2 linked regions of the Macaca mulatta genome follow. The protein of the gene in region 2 purifies or fractionates together with the protein of the main gene of each other region. This does not show direct contact. Links are inferred from orthologs where the notes say so. Each region holds a gene or a part of one and is shown on either strand. Other genes may lie near its edges.

Evidence for each region.
Region 1: the proteins of SLC22A5 (region 2) and YIPF3 purify together in Homo sapiens (co-immunoprecipitation; 3 studies listed by BioGRID and IntAct, counting the BioPlex papers as one, with this or other methods). This does not show direct contact. The link is inferred for Macaca mulatta from reciprocal best matches to the Homo sapiens genes SLC22A5 and YIPF3.

The regions. Positions count from the first base shown.
Region 1 is NC_133409.1:138,606,643-138,609,955, reverse strand, and holds the end of YIPF3 (protein YIPF3), read right to left. Parts: intron 2,625-3,313; coding exon 2,579-2,624; intron 2,443-2,578; coding exon 2,350-2,442; intron 2,192-2,349; coding exon 2,060-2,191; intron 1,866-2,059; coding exon 1,752-1,865; intron 1,557-1,751; coding exon 1,433-1,556; intron 1,309-1,432; coding exon 1,160-1,308; 3' UTR 817-1,159; downstream 1-816. UniProt on the Homo sapiens protein: Involved in the maintenance of the Golgi structure. May play a role in hematopoiesis.
Region 2 is NC_133411.1:141,294,134-141,297,949, reverse strand, and holds part of SLC22A5 (organic cation/carnitine transporter 2), read right to left. Parts: intron 2,796-3,816; coding exon 2,641-2,795; intron 1,611-2,640; coding exon 1,439-1,610; intron 1-1,438. UniProt on the Homo sapiens protein: Sodium-ion dependent, high affinity carnitine transporter. Involved in the active cellular uptake of carnitine. Transports one sodium ion with one molecule of carnitine.

The sequences.
Region 1 (3,313 bases), on a different chromosome or scaffold from region 2:
AGAGCCCTGGAGCACTGGTGAGGACGTGAAGGCAGCTGAGTCACACTCCACGGTGCAGGCGGTACTGTGGCAACTTTGTCCACTGGCCAGGGTGGTGGGGGCCTCACTTACGTAACGCAGGACAAATGAAGGGCACCTCTTTCTGTTAGTCCCTTTGTTAGGAGGGATAGAGGCTGCTGACCCAGATTTACTAGTGTAAGGAGATTATTGTACATAAAACATAATATTCAATATAGTGAAGGAAGGTCAAAGGCCGTATTCCCTCTTTTAGCCACCAGAATTAAGTGGAGCAGACTAAAGAGGTGGTGGTGCGGGGGGTGGATGGTGCTATGTTAGGAGTGGTGGTTGGTTTTATGAGGAAAGACAGAAAAACTGAAAGGAGCTGGCCCCAGTACCACCAGGGCAAAGCCAAGTTTGGCTTCAATTATGAGCTCCACAGGAAAATTATCCCCACAATGCCCAGGAGCAGAAGATCCTTGTTTTGACACGGGGTTTAAGTCGGGATGTTTTGTCCAATTGTCACTGCTTCCTTGGCTTCCCAAGAGTGCAGCTGAGCCCAGACTCAAGCTGGCTGCAGTGTTCCATCAGGCTTATGGCTTTTGTGCTTGAGGCCTCCCTGCCGCTTCATGGGTCAGGTGTCCCCTGCCCTCAGGGGTAGGTTCCATATTCAAGCACTGCCTTCTATGTAGTCTGGCCTGTCCCACCTTTATCCTGTCTGGGTGAGGATATGAAAAAGGGAACATACGACATTACCACTGCTGATTGAGCATGAAAGTATATAGTAAGTGGGATGACAGGGAGGACCACTGGATCAGCCGCTGCAGTTCCAGACTTCAATCAACATTTTAATTACCAAGTCTATATTTAGCAAGACAGTGTGGGAGAGATAAAGAGGAAGGAAGGGGTAGGTGGTGAGGGGTCTCAGAGGAGCTGGCCCATTTTCTGCACTGGCTGCAGAGCCTTGCAGTCCTGGCCAGGAGTTCTTGGCCTTGTGCCCTTCAGAAGTGCCAACAGGCATCAAGGAGGTACTTAACGCAGCTGCAGCTCAGTGGCAGCTGCAGACCCCATCTAAGAAATATGTCATCAGGACTGTCCTTTAATAGTCTTCCTCCTCTCTCCAGCTGTGGGAAAGAGGACTGGCCAAGAATTTCAGGTGGAGTCAGTGTGACTGCAGGGTCACCGCAACAGCTTTGGCTGTGGCGTTGAGGATGGTGGTGGGAAGCCGAGCAGCAGCGAGCACGGCAGGGATGTCTCTGGGGACCCTCTGAATGGGCGGGATGTTGGGGCCCTCCAGTGTGTCCAGGATCCCTGGAAGGAAGATGGAAGGTGAGCAAGGGTCAGATGGGCCCAGCCCACTGACCATGATATCCAGCTTCTTGCCCTAGGCAGCTGCTGTCCCATTCTCCCCCACCCAGGCCTTCCTGCCACTTACCCTCTACCACTTTGTGGTAGGCAAAATGCAGATAGAGCAGGAAGAGCATGTGTAGGGCGGCCAGGGTGCCACAGAGGAGCAGCCGCTGTGTGGGGCCCACGGTCCGAGACACCAACACTGCTACCTAGGGCCATGAGAATACAGCTCAAAGGGCCTGGCTCCAAAGTGAGGAGTGGGGAAGACACTCCCACCCAGGGCAGAACCATCTTTGGGCCCTTCCCTCCCATTTAGGGCTCTTTGTGAGATGGACAGCTCCAGGCTGTCTTCCCCAACTCCCTGGGAGGACAGCCCACCCCTGGAAGCCTCTTGCCCAGCTTACCATGCGCAGTGTGGACAGTCCACCCACCAAAAGCCAGAAGAGGTAGAAGAGGGCGTGAAGATGGATATTATAGGTGATGAACAGGACAATGCAGTGCCCAAAGAGGCCATAGCCCTGGGAAGGAGGATGGTGGAGAGGGGAATCACTCAGGTTGGGCTGGTTTCTGGCCTCTCATGGGGACCGTGGGAAACACACGGTCCATTGGCCTACTCCTCCCATTCCAGGCTTCGGGGCCCCAGGACAGATGCAGACCAAGGCCTGGCTACTCTTTTTAACATCACTCTTGCCCACCACGCCTGGCTCCTTACCAGCAGTGCCAACATCTGCAGCATGGTGATCTGGGCGTTGCACAGGTAGGCGAGGAAGTAAATGAAGGATGAGACTCCCAGCCAGTAGCCGAAGCAGGTGCCAATGGCTGTGCCCATCAGGGTGCCCTCCCGCTGTGGGGTGAAGGCTCTACTTAGTCCTAGGAGGCCTCTGATCTCAGCCTCACCTAGGGCCTTCCGCAGGGGCGGTTCCTGTCTCACTCCACCACCGCATCCTCAGGCAGCTTTCAACCTAGTGCAGCCACCCCCCCAAAGTTGTCTGTCCTGCTTACGATAATAGTGTCAGACGTCTTCATCCCGTGGAGTAGGATGGCAACCAGTGTGAAGACCAGCATGAGAGGTCCATAGAGTTCACCTGCAATTTTCTGTCAATATACCAAGTCATTCAGGCTGGAGGGTACAACAGCTCGTCTGTTTATGGCTTCCCAGGATTTGCCTGGTGGTCCCACCCTCTGCCCTGGTGCTTCCCCCCACTCTCCAGACGTGCCACCCCCTATTCACCTGGGGGAAGTTGACCATCTTGATAGGGATCATGGACTCCAGGAGCCTGGGAAAGGAGAGGAGAGATTAAAGCAGAGGCAGCCCGAGGCCATGAGGTTCTGGAGGGCACGGCCTGAATTTTATTCATCTCTAACTCCAGGGAATGGGGCCTGGCCTAGAGGACATGTCGGATGACAGGGTAGAACAGGGTAGTAAAGACAGATAGGGAATAAGGAAATCATTTCCTTGCCTCTAAAATTAACTTCCAGGAAGGACAACCCTCTGAAACTTAGCTGACTGAAACAGCAGCTATATGGAGAACTCAGCCCTGCTGGGCCTTGATGGAGAGCCTAACCATGTATCCATCTGCCCCCTCCCCTTGAAAAGACAGGCAGGCCGGGCGCGGTGGCTCAAGCCTGTAATCCCAGCACTTTGGGAGGCCGAGACGGGCGGATCACGAGGTCAGGAGATCGAGACCATCCTGGCTAACACGGTGAAACCCCGTCTCTACTAAAAAATACAAAAAACTAGCCGGGCGAGGTGGCGGGTGCCTGTAGTCCCAGCTACTCGGGAGGCTGAGGCAGGAGAATGGCGTAAACCCGGGAGGCGGAGCTTGCAGTGAGCTGAGATCCGGCCACTGCACTCCAGCCTGGACCACAAAGCGAGACTCCGTCTCAAAAAAAAAAAAAAAAAGACAAGACAGGCAGGCTGAGCGCGGTGGCTCACACCTGTAATCCCAGCACTTTGGGAGGCTGA
Region 2 (3,816 bases):
AGAGCACAGCCATAGGAGGGAATGGGGTTGCAGAACCAGAGCTTGTGGAATGTTTGGTGTTCACAAGCCAGAAGCAAAGAGCTGATCCACACACAGCAATAACCTGGGGTGGATGAGCTTTTGTGTACACCACACTGCACAAAAATGTGAGAGCCTTGCACCCTCTGACAGCAACCCAATGCTGGCTGGCCACCTCCATTTCTGAAGAGCACTGGTGCCACCTGCTGGGCTGAGGAGATGGGTGCAAGATGGGCTCCGGAAGCTGGGCTTCTGTGCATGTCTAGGCCAGCCCAGGCCCTGCTACACTTTCCTCCCTGTCCCTGACACCAACAGAAGCTTCTGCCCTAGCCTCTTAGCTTCTCTTCTCTCCTCACCCTACCCCTGATTTATCCAACACACTTGTCAGATACTCTACCTAAAATAGCATGTTTGGCCAGGTGCAGTGGTTCACTCCTATAATCCAAGCACTTTAGAGGCAGGTGGATCATTTGAGGCTAGGAGTTTGAGACCAGCCTGGCCAACATGGTGAAACCTGTCTCTACAAAAAAATACAAAAAAATGATCCAGGTGTGGTGGCAGGCACCTGTAGTCCCAGCTACTCGGGAGGCTGAGACATGAGAATCGCTTGAACTGGGGAGGCAGAGGTTGCAGTAAGTGGAAATCACGCCACTGCACTCCAGCCTGGGCGACAGACAGAGACTTTGTCTCAAAAAAAAAGAAAGAAAAGAAAAGAAAAAAGAAAAAAAAATTAGCATGCTTATCAAGGTGCTCTATGGATATTATTTTCCATCTTGCTGGGACCAGGTAGCCGCCCCCCACCCTTGGTCATGACTGGGCCCCGTGATGTGTGGCTTACTCTCCCACTATGCCCTGAAATGCTCTCTGCTCCACGTGGGCTGGTGATCTCACCTTCTCCACCTGCAAGGGGTGATTCCCACCTTAGCTCCTCTGCTGTGTTCCCCTCTTGGTCGGGAATGGCCTCTTCTCTGCCTGTTCAACTCCTCTACCTTGGTGGTGCAGAAGGAGCCTGGCTTCCTCCACGTGGCTACCCTGAGGACTCTTGCTTTTGGTGCCAGTGCCTGTGGCATGAGGCTTCAGCAGCACACAGCCAGAACTAGGGCCTACACTGTCCTGCCCTGAGGCTTGGAAACTTCCTCCAGGTCATGCTGGACCCCATCTTCTCATAGCTACTGCTACTTCTCCCTGCACTTGGGGCAACCCAGTACAGGGCTGAGAGCAAGTCTGTTGCCATCATGGGATTCTGTTTTGCTTTGGCTCTTTGAGTGTGGAGAAAACATTCTGAAATAATTTATAAATCATCTATGCTTCCTGTCTCTAGGAGACAAAATAGGGATTCATGGGTTGTTGCTGCCCTCTAGTGAAGGCCAGACAGAAATCATCCTGCCAGTGGGCACACGGGGCACAGGGTCACACTCACCACCAGAGTGCCACGCACAGCACCCCTGGCATCGTCAGTGCCACCAGCAGTATTCGCCAGTCTCGGATGAAGTAAGCAAACAGTGGGAGCACCATGTAGCCAAATGCATAAAATATGCATACTCCTAACGTAGAGAATATTATACGAACTGACTTGCCAAGAATTTCTGTTCCTGTTCAAAACAAGGGAGGTCGAGTTAGCAGTTTAATTTGGATTACTTCTTTATTAATTTTTTTATAGTATCTGTGTGAATACGCAGATAAGAAAACAGCCAGAACTGTCTCTAAGTTCCTGGTGCTAGGGAGCGGATAGCGTTCTGAACCCCTCCTATCTGACCATCTCCTGGGGCTGCATCCCTGTGGCCTCTCAGGCCCCCTAGCAACAGTTCTCTCTTGAAAATTTCACCATGTTCTGAAGCCACATGCTAAAGATGCCATGGTAGGCCCCCTTTAATCCTCACATGAGGAAGAATTTATTAAAAGTGAAGTCATTACTAAGCCAGCACATGTTGGCTTAAGCCTCAAGGAAAGAGAATATTAAATATGAAAAGAAAAAACAATCCTTTCAACAATACAACCCAAGGAACTCAAAGGCCTTATCAGCTAGAGTCAGGTTCCTCCAAACACAGGCTGGCCTGCAGCTTCTCAGTGACAACAGGCTGGCACATTTGAGACAAAGCCCTGCAGTGTGCACTCTGAATTAAAACCCTGAAGGTGACGAAAGCCCATTCCTATCAATTTATTCTTGTCCATAGATATCACCAGCCATAGTGCTCTGCAGACAAGGGCTTCTCTACCTTGGTGAGCTTGCCAGTCACGGCCCCTCCTCCACCAACCATGCCGCCCTCTTTCCTGGGCTGGCTCAGCCCTGTGCAGTGGCAGGCCCTTTTTGTAAATGGAGGATCTCTGGTGAGTCCTAGTAAATTGGCCATCAAGTACTAAGACCATGGAGCCATAGCCCAGAGGCCAGAAAAGAACTGGAAATCAGAAGTCAGGCCATTGTGCTACTGGGGACCCCAGGCTGGTCACATGTCTGGCTCAGTTTCCCTGCCTGTAAGTACGGTTCACCAGGAAGCTCTGGCTGGTTTTGTTAAAAACCCTGTCCCCCTTGTGGGACATCACAGCTGTCTCCAGAAAGGTGGGGGTGATGGGATGATGGTGAAATACAGGATCAAGTACTCAACTCCAACCTGATGGCCATACCCAGGACAAATGCTGCCACATAGTTGGAGATCTGGCCCATGCCTACAAGGACAAACAGCATGACAAACATCTCAAAGTTTTTTGAGAAGATCTGCAGGAAGCTGAAGCCTGTCTGCATGCCCATGGTCACGAACAGCACATTCTTCCGGCCAAACCTGGGAAGAAAAGGAGAGTGACAGAGAACCAGCTGGAAAAGGGCAGCAGGAATGGGCTCCACCAAGTGGGGCTTTCCCAAGATCCACCCAGAGAGCAGGTGTGAACAGTGTTGCCAGGATACCGGCTGCCAGGGACAGTCTCGGTCTCATGGTGCTCATGCTGTTTCTCTCCCTCCCCACTCCCCAGGACAAATGTATAGCCTGGGCACCAGGGTTGCCTAAAAAGCAATACTACAATTATGATAATGATTGCAAGAGACTGAAACACATCAATTATTTAATCCATACATTCATAATGATATTATTTTTAAAAAAAGAATCTGCCAACTTTGGAGAATGACAGAGAAACAATTTATTATAAATGAAAACTGGCAAATAAGGAGAAAGAAGCATTTGTCCTGATTTTACTTTGTAAACTATGTGAACAGCAACCAATAATAGATAAGAGGTAGCATCATGTATAAAAGTATTCTAACTTTTAAATGAAAAGGTAATAAAATTAGACTAATACCATGTATAGCCCCCAACAGATTAATAGATATATGCATTATATACTAATGACTGTTAACGTCATGAAGAGACAGTCGGGCATTGCATGCTTCCTATGGTCTTGCCAAAAGGACTGAACCTGAATCAGAACCTGAATCTCAAGTCTCTGGATCCAACTGGCAATTTTGAGGAAATGCAGAGCATAGAGGAATGTGCTGAACTGCATCCTGAGTGTACCATCAACAAAATCCAGACTGCGAAATTCTATAGGTGGAACAGCTCAGTTTCTTCATAGATAATCAGTAAGGCATAGAAGGGGATAGAAGGAGAATCCATGGATTAAGTAGACTAAAAGACATCAAATATGTTAAGTGGGCAACACTAAACTTGTGTCAAGATGCATATTTCGATAATAAAACTAAAAAAAACTCACAAGGAAGTGATTATTACAGGAGTCAGGCTAGCGGTTACTTAATGAGAGAGAGAAGATGCTGTAATTGGGATGGGGCACATGGACAGGGCTTCTTAGTGG